Elephas maximus indicus: one gene and its partner. The protein of the gene in region 1 interacts with the protein of each later gene in a pairwise test. Links are inferred from orthologs where the notes say so. Each region holds a gene or a part of one and is shown on either strand. Other genes may lie near its edges.

Evidence for each region.
Region 2: the proteins of TRIM63 (region 1) and MYOT interact in a two-hybrid assay, tested with the Homo sapiens proteins (2 studies listed by BioGRID). The link is inferred for Elephas maximus indicus from reciprocal best matches to the Homo sapiens genes TRIM63 and MYOT.

The regions. Positions count from the first base shown.
Region 1 is NC_064821.1:66,565,728-66,573,702, forward strand, and holds the start of TRIM63 (E3 ubiquitin-protein ligase TRIM63), read right to left. Parts: upstream 3,015-7,975; 5' UTR 2,904-3,014; coding exon 2,745-2,903; intron 1,352-2,744; coding exon 1,179-1,351; intron 1-1,178. UniProt on the Homo sapiens protein: E3 ubiquitin ligase. Mediates the ubiquitination and subsequent proteasomal degradation of CKM, GMEB1 and HIBADH.
Region 2 is NC_064820.1:150,922,900-150,930,604, reverse strand, and holds the start of MYOT (myotilin), read right to left. Parts: upstream 3,012-7,705; 5' UTR 2,813-3,011; coding exon 2,457-2,812; intron 1-2,456. UniProt on the Homo sapiens protein: Component of a complex of multiple actin cross-linking proteins. Involved in the control of myofibril assembly and stability at the Z lines in muscle cells.

The DNA of each region.
Region 1 (7,975 bases):
ATTATGATGATTAAATAGGGTAATGCTTAAAAAATACTTAGTACAGCGCTTACACATAAAACAAAAACCAGACTCATCGTCATCAAGTCAGTACCGACTCATAGCAACTCTATAAAAAAAACTCTATAGGACAGTACAACTGCCCCACAGGGTTTCCAAGGCTGTAAATCTTTACGGAAGCAGGCTGGTGGGTTCAAGCCACCAACCTTTTGGTTAGCAGCCAACTGCTTAACCACTGTGCCACCAGGGCTCCTAGTACCCTACACATAAAAAAAAAAAGTAGGTACTTAATAAATATTTGGTATTTTTTTAATCATCGATATCCTATTTCACAATCACAATAACGGATCTCACTGTCCCCTTCTGTAGACGAGGGAAATGAAGGCCCAAAGGCCAGTGCCTGAGTGCATTAGTAACAGATTCAGACAGAAAGGCCAGGGCTCTTTCTCAGCAGGCCTGGTCTGCCACCCTCCCTCCAGCAGGGCATTACCAGTAGCAGGTGCTCAGTAAAGGTTTTGGACCATAAGGGCTGTGGGATCAGGCTCCTGGAAGTCTTGTCGGGATGTCCTGACTGTATGTAAAGCTCTCTCCGGTTTGAAGCCTGACGCTGTGTAACTTCTACCACTCACAAATTCTGCCTGAGACTGAGCTGCTCTTTCATAAACAGATTTGGAACTAGATCAACTGTGTCTCCTTCTAGATCACCTACTTCCACAACCTTGGGTAAATGGATTCACCTCTCTGAACCTCAGCTTCCTCATCTGTGAAATGGGGATAATAAAAGTTGTGGCCGATCCATAGGATTGTTAAGAGGTGCCAAGAAGAAGCATCCCAGTGCTGGTGCCTGCTGACCCACGGCGGGTAACTACTGGCCAAATTCTCCCTGGGTGCTTTCTCTTTTCAGGGCCGCTTAGCTGGTCGGGGTGCCTCTCTCTCCCCCTCCCGTCTTATCTTTCCCTTGCTTTCTGTCTCAGCATCTCCCAGAAGGGCAGCCTGCTGTCTGGACTCCTCCTTATTCACTGACTGATACTGAGAGCCAGGGTTGGGGCGTATGTTCCTCAGGCAGAAGGAAATGGCTCTCTGGACTGCTGGGAGGCCGGATCCTGAGCGGAAGTAGGAAGAGAAGGACAGCCGGGGAGAGCTGGTACAGAATGGCAGAGGTGGGAGGATCAGCTGACCTGGAACACTCCTGCTTGTAGATGTCGATGATGTTCTCCACCAGCAGGTTCCTCTGCAGGCCGTACACTCCATGCCGGTCCATGATCACCTCGTGGCGACAGGAGGGGCAGCGGAAACGGCCACCAGACATTGACACCGAGCCACTCCGGTTGGTCCAGTAGGGATTTGCAGCCTGCAGATGGCAAGGGCAGAGGTGGGGCCTGGGATCCCTGGCCAGCCCTTTCCCTTTCTAATCTCCTGTTAGCCGTCCCCACCCCTGCCTACACCAACCATTCTTGTCGAACCATATGACCTGCCAGAGGCCTAACTAAGGTATGGTAGGTAGGGCAGTGCCCTGGGCACCACCTGAGGAGGGGTGCTAACGAGCAGTTTTGATTCCACTGGCCACCTGAGGAAGGGTGCTAACGAGCAGTTTTGATTCCACTGGCCACCTGAGGAAGGGTGCTAACGAAGGGTGCTAACGAGCAGTTTTGATTCCACTGGCCATCCGCCATTGCAGTTTCCATCGCCAGCTGTGAGAGATCATTCAACAATTTAAGGCTAATTGCCATAGGCACTGTTTTCCACAGATAGGCCCCTGCGTGGAGCTCCCCATTCTGACATGAGAACCAGCCCATTTTACACATGGAGCACCTGAGAAGCAACTAAGCAATCAATAACCACACAAGATAATATACCTGCTTTAAGAATCGGTGAACCTGGGTTCAAGTTACATTTATTCGATAAATGACTTCGAATAAACAAACAAAAAAAAAAACCCAAACCCATTGCTGTTGTCACTTGCAACTCAGCAACCCTTTAGGACAGAGTAGAACTGCCCCACAGGGTTTCCAAGGAGCACCTGGTGGATTCGAACTACTGACCTCTTTTGGTTAGTAGCCATAGCTCTTTAACCACTACACCACCAGGATTTCCATGTGACTTTGAACAAGTAACCTTATCTAAGCCTCAGTATGCCCCTTCATGAAATGGACATTATAATTAGAGCAAGCTCCTAGGGTTGCTACTTTGAAGATAAAACAGTGAAAGAGCGTTTATGTAAAGTGCTCCTGGGGAAACTTGATCCCCGCTTCCCAGCCAGAAGGTCCACTCTGGTTCCTTTCTTAGGGCGGTTGGGCACCCCCACCCCTCCACAGGATTACAGGGACCAACCTCAAAAGGGAAGATGCCTCTACTGTCCAGTACCTCCCCACCACCCTCCTCCCAAAGCTCTGGGCCCCCTGCCACAGTAGAGCTGGCTCCAGCCCCAGGGGTCTGGTTTCTCTCTCCTTTCCGCTTGCCTCCCCTACTTATCTCTTGAGGCATTTGACTCTTGATCGGAAAGTCAACTGCCTTGCTTAGGGCAGGGGTGGGGGAGCTGTAGGCCTGATGGAGAGGGGAAACGTGCGTCATGGAGAAGGACTGGAGTGGCCAGAGCAGCCTCCCTCGCACCCCTCAGCTGAGTCCTCAGGCCTCTGCACGGGGGCGCGGGGGGGACTCATTTTGCAGGGGACAGAGCCAGCAGCAGTTTGGAAAGGTCCTGGGCTAGGTGAGAAGGGTTTTACTAGACCATGCCGGGCACTGACCTGGAAGATGTCATTGGCACACTTCCGGCAGAGGTTGTGCTGACACGGCAAGATGACCACTGGCTTGGTAAACATCTCCAGGCAGATGGGGCAGATGAGCTGCTTCTCCAAGTTCTCCATGGGGTTCCCAACCTGGATCAGACTGGATTTATAATCCATATTGTCGGTAGGTATAGGCCTACCTGGCTGCCTCCTTCGCCTGCACCTAACTATGGGCAGACCTGGGGCTCTTGCCTTTGTCACAAAACACCCGCACAGAGCCTCTTTGCCTCCTTCTTCTGGCGCCCGAATTCTGTCTTGGGCTGAGGCCCCTCTGATATTTATAGCTGGACCCTGGTCACATGAGCCCCGGGAGGGAACCAGCTGAGCATTCCGATGCCAGTTGGCTGCCGGGGTTTGAGTTTCCTCCAGGCCTGGAAGACTCACCCTCTCAAATCACACGTGGGGATGAGCAATCGCTGTTCTCCCAGGATGGGGGTCGTAAACAAGAACAGCCTGTTCGGAGGCAGGCCGCAGGGGGGAATGGGTACTCAGAATTGTCTCCAGAAATTGTTTCTCCCCCCGACCCCCGGCTGGGGAGGCAGGGCTGGGACTCATCCAGCGAACCATTAGGATTCAAGGGGTTAATAGCCAGTGCCCCCTCAAAGACAGGAGAGAAACCCTCTGACCTAAATCAAGTCCTTTCCCCTCAGGGCTTTGAACCTGATCTGTCCCTTTTGAACTCCTGCTGAGAATTTGCACTTCTAACAAGCCCCTCCCCCACCCAGTTATACATAAGAATCACCTGGGGATCTTGCTAAACTATAGATTCTGGTTCAGTGTATCTGGGGTGGAAAAGCAAATCCTCAGCAGAGAACTTGTTAGAAATGCAAATTCTCAATAGGTGTTCAAACCCCAAGTTGGAAGCCCTGTTTCTCTTCTCTGGAGTCCTGGGCACCTCCCAAGATGTGGGGTAAGGGAGCCCCTCTTTCTGAGCCCATCCCTCTGCCTCGGACCTGAGCACAACATTTTGCAGGAGACCTTGGAGTCCCCATCCTCTATCCCTTGATAGGGACCCCATCCTTCCATCAAATCTTCTTGAGTCTCCTAGCCAGTCCCTCCATCCCTTGGCCACCAACTCCACTTTCATGTTGAAAGGGCTTCCTGGAGCTCATCCGGTCCTCTCACTGTATAGATTTTGAAACTGGGATTTGGAGAAAGAAAGGGTCTTGTCACTTGAAAAGTAGTAGGTGGCAAAGCCAGGAGCCTTATTTATTCATCAAACATTTTTCTGGCTATACATTAGGCACCAAGGTGACAGGTAAATGAGTAATCCCTTTCCCTGCCCTGAGATGCTCACAGCCCAGGAAGTGAGACAAAAATAACTATCATATTGGAGCCCTGGTTGCTCAGTGGCTAACAGCTATGGCTGCTAACCAAAAGGTCAGCAGTTCGAATCCACCTGCTGCTACTTGGAAACCCTGTGGAGCAATTCTGCTCTGTCCTGTAGGGTCCCTATGAGTCAGAATCAACTCAACGGCAATAGGTAGGTAGAGCCACAAATTTCCTAACCTAGATCCATAGAAGTTATCCAGATGTTGCTCTCTGCACAAATTTTAGAGTTTCTCCATGTCCTTCTGGACATCTTCCATGTTGGCAGGTTGCTGTTGTTGTTATTAATTGCCATCAAGTTGGCTCCAATTCATGGCAACCTTATGTATAACAGAACAAAACATTGCCTGGTCCCACATCATCCTCACAATTGTTGGTGTGTTTTAGCCCATTGTTGCAGCTACTGTGTCAATCCATCTTGTGGGGGGTTTCCCTCATTTTCACTGATCCTCCACTTTACCAAATGTGATGTGCTCATCTAGTGATTGGTCTTTCCTGATGACATGTCCAAAGCAAGCAAGACAAAGTGTCACCATCCTAACTTCTAAGAAGCATTCTGACTGTACTTCCTTCAAGACTGAATTGTTTGTACCCCTGGCGATCCACAGTATATTCAATACCCTTCGCCAACACCACAATTCAAATGCGTCAATTTTTCTTTGGTCTTTCTTTTTCATTGTCCAGTTTTCCCATGCATATGAGGCAATTGAAAAGATCATGTCTAGAGTCAGGCGCACCTTAGTATCAAAGTGACATCTTTGTTTTTTAACACTTTAAACAGGTCTTTTGCAACAGATTTTCCCAATGCAATATGTTGTTAGATCCTTGACTGCTGTTTCCATAGGTGTTGATTGTTGATCGTTGATCCAAGTCAAATGAAATCCTTTACAACTTCAATCTCCATCAATTCCTGGAGCTTTGGTTTTCTCTAATGCCTTCATTACAGCTTGAATGCCTTCCCTCAACACCAGCAGTTCTTGATCACATGCTACCTCCTGAAATGGTTGTACGTCAGCCAGTTCTTTTTGGTACAATGACTCTGTTTATTCCTTCCATTTTCTTTCGGTGCTTCCTGCATCATTAAATTTTTTGTCCATAGAAGTCTTCAATATTGTAACTTAGGCTTAAATTTTCTTTTCAGTTCTTTCAGCTTGAGAAATACATATCGTGTTCTTCCCTTTCGGTTTTCTAACTCCAGGTCTTTGCATATATCATTATAATTTTCCTTGTCTTCTCAAGCCTCCCTTTGATATCTTTTGTTCAGCCCTTTTACTTCTTCTGTTTGCTTTAGTTACTCTGTGCTTAAGAGCAAGTTCCAGAGTCTCTTCTGACACATTCATTTTGGTCTTTTCCTTCTTTCTCTTAACTATCTTTCACTTTCTTCATGTATGATTTCTTTGATGTCATCCCTCCCACAACTCATCTGGTCTTCAGTCATTAGCATTCAGTGCATCAGATCCATTTTCAGATGGTCTCTAAATTCAGGTGGGATGTACTCAAGGCTGTCATGGACTTGCTTCGATTTTCTTAGGCTTCATCTTGAACTGGCATGCAAGCAATTGATGGTCTGTTTTTTTCTGTAATCAGCTCCTGGTTTTGTCTTGACTGATAACATTGAAGTTCCCCATCATTTCTGTACACAGGTATAGTCGATTTGATTCCTGTGTAATCCATTTGGTGAGGTCCATGTGTATAGTTCATGCTGTTGAAAAAAGTGTTTCCAGTGAATAACTCATTGGTCTTAAAGAATTCTGTCATGCAATCTCTGGCATTGTTCCTATCACCAAGGCCATATTTTCCAGCTACTATTCCTTCTTCTTTGTTTCCAGCTTTCAATTCCAATCATCAGTAATTATCAATGCATCTTGATTACATGTTTGGTCTATTTCAGACTGCAGCAGTTCGTAAAAATCTTCAGTTTCTTCATCTTTGGTATTTGTGATTGGTGCATAAATTTGAACAATAGTCATATAAACTGGTCTTCCTTTTAAGCATACGGATATTAGCCTATCACTGACAGAGTGTACTTCAGGAGTGATCTTGAAATGTTCTTTTTGACTGTGAATGTGACACTGTTCCTCTTCAATTTGTCATTCCCGGCATAGGAGACCATATGTTTGTCTGATTCGAAATGGCCAATACCAGTCCATTTCAGCTCACTATTGCCTACAATGTTGATCTTCAAGCATTCAATTTTATTTTTGATGACTTCCAATTTTCCTCGCTTCATGCTTTATACATTCCATGTTCTGATTATTAATGGATGTTTGCACCTGTTACTTCTCATTTTGAGTCAAGTTGGCAGGTAGAAGTCATTAAGGCAGTTCCAGTGGTTGTTTTTAGGGTAGAATCTCATGCAAAGGGACTTTGAAGCTACCCTGTATAAAGTGCTGGAGCAGGAGAGTGGGTAGAGTTCAGGAGCAGTGGCATCAGACATCAGGATGAACCTTATGAGGCCATGGAACATACAGCAGGCATATCAAGAAAAAGGTACAATGGGAGAATAGATTTGATCACATCAGTCCCAAGAAGATTTGATGACTGAAGCCACAAGACAAGGCCTAGTGAGTAGTAATGGCAGAGGATCTAAACTTGGGAAAAGGAGGAAATGGGAGGGAGAAGATAAGGAGCCTATCTGAAAAAGAGGAGACCTAGAAGACAAAGGGCAGGAGATTTTCAAGGGGAAGGTGGTCTCCATAAAATGTTAATATCTAGTTTTTGCTGAACACTTAGGTACTGTGTGCCAGGCACTGTGCTAAGTGCTTTGTATGTATCATTTCATTTCGTCTATATGTAATGTTTCATTTCATCATCTCAATAACCAATAATATAAGAACCATTGTATCCTCAATCCACAGATGGAGAAACTCAGGCAAGGAGAGGCAAAAAACTTATATGTGGTCACACAACTAGTAAGAAGTGATTCCAGGACATAAACCCAGATATGCTCGACTCAGGAGCCCAACTCTCTCACCTCTCCACTGAATAACCAGTCAGCACTACCAGGCCAGCCAGGGGTCAGAGAGGGATAAGGATTGAGAAAAGTCTATCCTAGCTTCCTTACTCGCAAAATTCCTGTTTTGTTCACGCGTCGGCACCACTATGCTCAGGGAGGAGAAAGCTTCATTCCTGCCTTTGAGTGGAGTTGTGAGAGGATGGGGTGGCCACCATCTTGTAACCATGGGGGGACAAGCCCAAGGAAGAAATCAACACCCTGAGGATGGCAGAGAGGAACTATAGAAAACTGCTGGGTCATTGATGCCCTCATTGTGCTGCCAGTTTATTCAACCCTGAAGCTGCCTACTTATGGATTACTTAAGACGTGAAACAGCAAATGCCATTGTAGTTGAATTATTCTCTTACTTGCAACTGAAACCATCCTATATACATTTATGATTCCAACTCCTATCTGCCAATGATTCCTAAATCTCTATTTTCAGGGCTTCTCTCTTCCCTAAGCTACAAATTTGTTAGAGATCCCTACTGGGGATGTCCCAAAAGCACCTCAAACTCACCATATCCTAAATGGAACACATCATCTTGCCCATGCAATGCTCCTCCTTCTCTTTTCCCTGTCTTAGTGAATAGCACTACCATCCACCCATTTGCACAGACTGAAAAGCTGGGAGTCCTATTATGGCTCCTGCCTTCCTCCCATTGCACACCCAGCCGATCTCTGCATCAGGCATGGCTTCATCTTTGTGTCTCAATTGTCGTACTGTTATCATCTGTGAGTTTGACTCTTCAGATTTTAAAGACCTGTGGGTGCCTGTCTCTATTCATCTCTGTACCCCCAGTGCCTGGCACACAGTAGGCACTCAACAAATGTGTTTTAAATGAATAGATGAGTGAATGAATGA
Region 2 (7,705 bases), on another chromosome or scaffold:
GAGTAGAACTGCCCCATAGGGTTTCCAAGGCTCTAAATCTTTACAGAAGCAGACTGCCACATCTTACTCTCAAGGAGCCGCTGGTGGGTTCAAACCTCAGATTTTCAATTATCAACCGAGTGCTTAACCACTGCACTACCAGGGCTCCTGCATTAGGTCTGCAAGTTTCTCTATGTTAATCCTTAATTAAAGTTTGATTTGTCCAATTAAGTAAACAATTAAACCAAGTGTTTAAGTAGTGAGCTTTTTTTTTTTTTTTTTCCTTCCTAACATTGAATTCTCAGGTCAAAGTGGCAAAATTCCTTTGGGCTTATGTATCTCGTATTTCTCCAACTGTATGAAGTTATAATAGCCTTATTGTTTTTTTTTTCCCCACACCAGGCTGCCATCTTTATGAAAGTTACGCATTTGTTAAAGTAAATTAGCATTAAATAATTTTTTCAGACGGTCATAATATGAGAAGTTCTGAAAGATTATCATAACCAAGCCTATTTTACTTGCACATTGCTTTACAGGTCTTTATTTTTTCTGTCATTAATTATCCAAATCCTTGATTTTGTTACAGATAGAAAACTGAATCACTGAGCAGGTACGGTACTTACTGAATGCCACACAACAAGCTTTTGGAAAAGGAATAATTAGCATTAAAAGAGTTTCCCTCAATTTCCAGTCTTTGGTTCGATCAGTTGAATAAATGCTTGTCTAAGGGCTTTCTACCGAGGAAAAGCTAAATAAAGCTTTCAAACTTCTCTAGGTCGGGATCAAAGGATTATTTTAGAAGACAGGGCAAAGTTAAGCCCATCATTACAATGAAGGAGTTGTGCACAAATGTTCAAAGGGCCAGAGCTTTTCACCCTGTACAGCTGGACATGGAACGGGTATCAAGTGGCTATGGGAAGATTAAAAAAGTTATCTATAGTTGCTGAAAATGGAACAGCTAAAGCTGAATCTTTGATCTCTGGTTTGGGGACCTCCTATGCTTTATTTCTTATCCTCTCTACTTTTTCTTTCTTCTTAGGTCTGTGCACAAAGCTAGGTATGTGTTTGAGGCTCACTAAATACTTGTTTGATAGCTTTATTTTCTGGGTAGGTATTTAGAATAGAATTGAAAGACTTTGCTAATAAAAATATTATAATCAGAAAAGGTCGTTTTAAATGGAAAAAAGCTCATTATAGGAAACTTGGAAATAATAGGAAGCTTGATGGAAAGTGGTCATCTAGGTAGAGTGTACCTGGAAAAATCTCTGATGTGTAATAATGGTATAATGCGGATTTGGAAGAGAAGAGAGAATGGGTTCTAAATCCTTTAAGGCATTCTTTTAAAATATTAGGTCAAACCTATGAGATTGCCATTTTTGTAGTCAGTTGACTCTCAGCCACTTTAAATGGTTCAACCTACTATCTATAGAATTCTGACAAATGTTTTTGGCTTTCCTGATTTTTAAAAATATTGGCGAAGTTTCTTTGCAAGTTGAATTGTTAACGCCAGCTAAGTGTCCAGAGTTGTTGCCAGTAGAATTTTTAGAAAAATTAACTTAAAGAAGACCAAGAAATTATCAAGAATTTCGGGGAATCTGTCAATCCTGCAACAAAACATATTTCATCAGTTTGTGAGGTGCCTCTGATTTAATTCTCTGATGTTCTAGCCAAGCCAAGGAATAGGAAAACTGATAGCCCTAAGTTTGCGTAAGTACAAAGTATTCAGTCCATGTTTTAAAAAAAGCACAACCACTATGTCCTTCATATCAGGTTCTCCTAGGACAGTTTTAGAGTTGTGGAAATAGTACAAGCTTGCATAAGACTGCAGGTATTCTTCCCTGTGTTTAGATCAGCCCAGCCAGTGTGAACAGTGTGGTTTTAATTACCAAAGGAAACCTTAAGGTCATGAGTCTTCATCTACTCAAGTCTGCTTATCATAGTGAGGAACATTCATACACTTTAATGCCTGAATCCCAGATTTTTTTTTTTTAGTCAAGTGGATCAGAGGGGAAAATGGATAGGAAGAAAAGACTAACACAGAAGAAACTCAATAGTCTCTACTTATGTGAGAGGAAATCCTAGCTGAAGAAGAGCAAACAGGTGTTCTTCATCTCAGCTGAGCCCAGAACCAGAGGAATTAAATTTGTAGCATAAGGAACTTAGCTTAGAACCAGTTCTCTATTCTTGAATGTGTTAGAAATCATTTTTTTTAAGATGAAAAATAATAAGTAATTGGATGTAGTAAGAAGTTATTTGAGTTCAACTCAGCCTGAACACTGGAACAATGAGTCAAATGGCCCTTCACTGCCAGTACCCTCATTCAAGGTGTTCTTGGAGAATTACAGAATGAGACCGTGAGGTCACATTGCCTTTTTAGATAGTGAAGAATGAACTGCAGCATACCACCAAAACTCAGATATAAGCTCACTATACATGCAAGTGTATATCCACATATATATTTTTAGAAACTCACTTACTTGGAGTCCACAGTGGAAGGTATTTTTCTGCTACTGTAATCAGGCTGTGATGGTAATACGGAGCTGAGGAAGCTGGCTGGGGACTGGTTATAGGTGGCTGCAACCCTTTGGCCTGGGTTAGAGCTAGTGAGCTGCTGGGAAGAAGCAGGGAAGGCTGAGGAGGACATGGTGATGTGAGAGCTCACTGTTGAGGAAGTAGAATATCTTTGCTCTGTGCACTGGCGGGGTTGGATGGTAATGGAAGACTGTTTGGTCTGGCTAGAGAAGCTGGCAGTTTCTGATCCAGGAGGCTGCAGTCTGGAGCCACATGGGTTTTGGGACTGGATGAAGTGTTTTGGACGTTCATAGTTAAACATGTTTAGCTGGTATATGGAAGATGAAGGCAAGTTATTAGTATAGAGATTTGCTCCTGGAGGGGTGAGGTCCTGAATTTGGGGCTGCAAGCCTGGAATTACGGAAGGTCGCAAGGAATCAGAAGCAACCTTGGTCTGCCCCTCCTTGTTGAGATCCTGGGAATACTTTGATTCTGGCTTTGATGGATTGGGCTTCTCTTGAAGAATATTGTTCCTTCAAAAGGAGAATATGATTAATGTAAGCCACGATATTTGTTTAAACAACAATACTGTTTATCATCTTTTGGAGCTTATATGCTTTTAAGGTAGCCTTAAGGTGGAACTTTCTTGGCTTCTAGGCTTCTCCTTCCTTTATCTCTGTCTTTGCACAAAATGACTTTTTCCCTTAGAATAAGAAAAAGGATTCAGTAATGTTTGTCCCCGTGTGATTCTTAAGAAAGCATGCTCAGGGACTTCAAGGTGTAGGAATGCAAAGTGGAATTTTCCAAGTGATTATTATGAAAAGAAATTCTGTGATGTTACTCAGTTTGATAGTTTAATAGTCTCATGATTAGCTTTTGCCCAGAGGCCGTAGTTTCATTAGCCAGAGAAATTTTATGATTTAAAATTAATAGCAGTTAAATAACATTTCAGTTTTCATTCAGTCTGAACTTTTCCACTCATCAAAACAGGTTAATAGACCTGATATATCAATTAATTCACGTCTTGATGATCTGTGTTGAATAAAATCTTGGTAAAACAAGGAAAGCAATATTCTTCTGTAAAGAACATTGCTTTAATGTCCATATTTATTCCTTCACTTTTTCACAGTTTCGCAAAATAGAGTGAACGACTACAATTTACTGTCGTCAGCTTCGAGTGGAATCTTTTTATTATACAATTCACTGTCTCTTTATTGTGCCTGAATTCCAGATCGACCATAGTACCAAGCTAGATGATAAATTAGGAGTGTGAGCATGTATGTGTCTGTGTTACTGACTGTATTCCAGAGCCATTTGTAAACTTATTCTGAAATTTTTAGATTATACTTTCTAGTTATAAGTTTTGATGTTCTCTTACTTAGTTTTATTTTTTATTATTTTACCTACTTAGTATGTAGTTTAGACTAATTTCAAGATTATTATTAGCTCCTCTTTTACTTTTGAAATGGCAAATGGGAAGTACAGAAGCAAGGTAACCCTGAAGTTAACCCATACCTTACCAAGAAAGGGAGGGTGACATTTGTCTCTCAGTGAACTCTGCAGTGGCCTTCCTGCCTTCCTACAGGGGATCCCTGTCATTCCTTACATGAATAATTTGCCACTAAAATCAGCCTTTAAGGATTATGTTCGCCCCTGATTTCTTTCATTAGTATTGCCAGGGCTCCATGGTAAACCTAAGTAGGACTATGTATGTATAGACTTACACACAAAGACTAGCCATATAAATTATTGTAACACTGGTCCTGTCTTCATTCAAAATATCAAGTAATTTGGTTAAAAATACATTTAGTTTGTTTTGTACAATATAAATCAACACTGAGTTAATGATAAATCAAAATTTTAACTAATAAAATTAACCAAATTGTTTTAATCAAGTCTTGTAATCTTTAAGGGTTCTATCTCGAAGAAAATATCATTGTTAATAGAACTTTTCCAGATCCAAACAACTTCATCCTAGGGTTGTGTATGTATTTTTGAGTCAAATTAAAACTAGCACTTACAGGAAAGAACAAAAGTACAAACAGCCAAGAGAAAAACTCCAATGGGAGAGAAAAAAAGCATGCTTAAAAAGTTATGTATTCCCTAATTTCAAGTTTATTGATATAAGTACCTTGAACCAGAGTGCATTTCAGTAATGACCTACATTAGGCTTTTAAATTGTTGGGGAAAAACATCCAGAAGGGGGCTTTAACGAGATCTTCTCAAAAAAGACTATATTTCAAGACAGGTAATTTTATAACCATGAGTTGTATTCATTCCATTGCAGAAGTAAATCTGGAGTTTGGTTCTTAAATTCCTTTCTGGGCAGGTGAATTATTCAGACTATTTCAAATGGCAAAAAATAATCTGTTTAAGAAATATTAAATATTTTCCAGAATGATTTCCCATTTTTTCTTTATATATATGTTCAGAATGTCAACTATCTTGTACATTTTGGTATTGGCCTCTATAATTAACAATTACTAATATATTTTAAAGCCAATTAAAAGCACAGTCTTTCAACATTTCATTTCATTCATATTTCAATGAAATTTTATACAGACATTTACATAGGTAACTTTAAAAGGCTTTTCTTTATGCTTAGTACTGTACAACAACTCAATTCTGTAATAGATTCTATAATATGGCAGTATCATTTTATTCCAAATTATATTGCATAAATTTCAAAGGTTTTATAAAGGACTACCCAGTCTGCTATTAAAAAAATCTTAGACTTTTTTTTTTTTCCTATCTCTAATATAACACAGACTTACAAAAAAACTGAGAGGATATTTTGAAGCCATAGGGCATCACCACATTGCGTGAGATCATTTGCAAGGAAAAATGATGATTTAAAAATAATGACACACAGCTACCTTTTCCTCTACCCTTTCTATAATGATTTCAAGTTTCAGTGGAATGAATAAGTCATTTTCTCTTCAGATCTTTGTATAATATTACGATGTTGTGGCTTTCAAACTGTTTATCGGAAGATCACCTTTGAATACACCCCTCTGATTTGGGGGTGAAAAAAACAACCCAAACCCAAAACTGTAGTAAGAATAAAGAAGACACTTACCCGTAGTTCCAGAGGGTGCCAGCTGGGTTTTACCCACTATCAAAGGGAAGGAAAAGGCATCCCCTTCCCTCACAGCCTAATCTAGTGGCTCTGTGCTTAGTATTATAGCACCACTGACTTTTATCAGCTGCCAGACGGTGACATCTGATGTGCTTGCTTGTCCATCTACCTATGCTGGCATGTCAAAGTAAGAGTCCACAATCTAAACAATATCTCAGATGTCTTAGTGATATTTAGGGAGTGGGATTACACGGGCTTCTTTTCCAGGCCTCTTTATTTTAGGCATGAATTTGACTATGAGCTTTAGTGAGCTTATGTAGGGGGAAGTGTAGTGAATTGGGAAGCGGGGAAAAGTAAAAAGAAAACTTTCAATTTCCTTATTGTGGTGGGTGCTTTGAATTGTCCCTGTTGAAGAGAGAAGAACTAAAAGAGAAATTATCAGTGTTCTAAGACTGAAGTGCTTCTATCTAGAAAGACTCTTCCAGAGATAAGGCCGGTAATGAATGAGCTCCAAATTGATTGTATTGAATAACCCTTCATCTGATGATTTTTTTTTTGTGTGTCTTGCCAAATAAGAGTGGGGGCAGAGTGGAATTTAAGTAGTTTGTTCCAAGAAATGATGTGTGGTCTGGACAAAGGCAAGAGAGCAGTGTCATATTGATATGTCATTGGAAAGGTAGGGAGGTGGAAACACATGATTTGTTTCATTTTAGCGAGTTTTCTGACTCTGTATCACATATGCCCCCTCGACTCAGTACTTTTACTCTAAAGGAGCTTTGAAACACTTAAAAAACAACCAACTAAATGAGCAATCTATACAATTAGGGCTCTGTCTGTCAAAGAGCTTTCGTCTCCTTTCACTCCTAACAGTTGTACAGTTTCCTTTCTCTTTTTGCCATGGAGACCACCTTGGTATTTAGGTTTTCACTTTTGTGTAGGGAGATAAATAATTACAGAGGAAGAAACCTTCAAAGAACAAAAGAAGTGGTGGAGTGGAGTGGGTGGTGTGAGAGTCAGGCCAAATGAGTGGAATTATCCGCATTTAGTGGCTTCAATTTTGGTATGATTCTGTTGTGTAAAGTGTATCTATTTTTTCCCCTCCCTCATGGGTACCCCAATTTTGATTGAATTACCACATACATTAGGCTCCAAAATGTAGATGTTTGAACACATCTGAGCCATATCAAATTCTTCACAACCGACTTTGTAGCTGTGCCATCCGTTGGTGTTCAGAGAAAATTTGACAGCTGCCCACTGGGCACACAGCCATTACGTACGTAGTAGAAAAAGTGTACTAGACTTGGTGAGTAGGTGGTTGCTGACAAAATCTTATTTCAGGAGTCCCCCAAAATATTTCTCCACATCTGCTCACTGATATCTCAAATTCCATTAATAGGAACAAAACCTTTCTATCCAAATTAGAATTCCTTATAGACTTAAAATGCAAATGCAAAGGACATAATTAAAAATAAAAAGAATAGCCAACACATATAGCACTTACTGTGAGCAAGACACTATTCTAAGCATTTTAGATGTGATATATGTGACTGATATTTGGTTCTTTTCCGAGAACAGGGTTTAATTAAGGCAAGGAAGAGGGAAGATTAGATTTGAGGTCCCTTTGTACGTGAAAGTTTCAGATATGCCCCACTGGCCAAGTAGGGAAGATGTCCAGGACAAACTGGTAAATCTCCAGTTTTCCCTAGAACAGGTTCTAAAGGTACCACAGTTGAGGAAGAATTTTAGTTCCATTTATTCTTTGTCCTTTAAGCTTTGCCTCTTCTTTTCCCTAGGCTTTTTTAAGACATAGCATCAGTTGCAGTGTGATAGCTCCATGGTGCATCAAGACGAGGTTTTCACTACAATAAGGGGATCATAGGATAACTTAGGAAAGCTAAGTAGGTTCTCTTTTATGACCCTATTCCCAGTTGTTAATGGTCAGTATTTAATAATCTATTATGAATCTTTTTCTGCTTTTTAATATTTGTCTTGCTTTTTTAAGTGATGTTTTGTTCACAAATGTGGCTATTTGATTGGTTTAGTTGCTTATTTGAGAAAAATCATAGAACCCTAAAACTAAAAGATTTTTGTCTCTAAATTATCGGTAAGGTCCTTTCGTAAGTCTTTTTAATACCC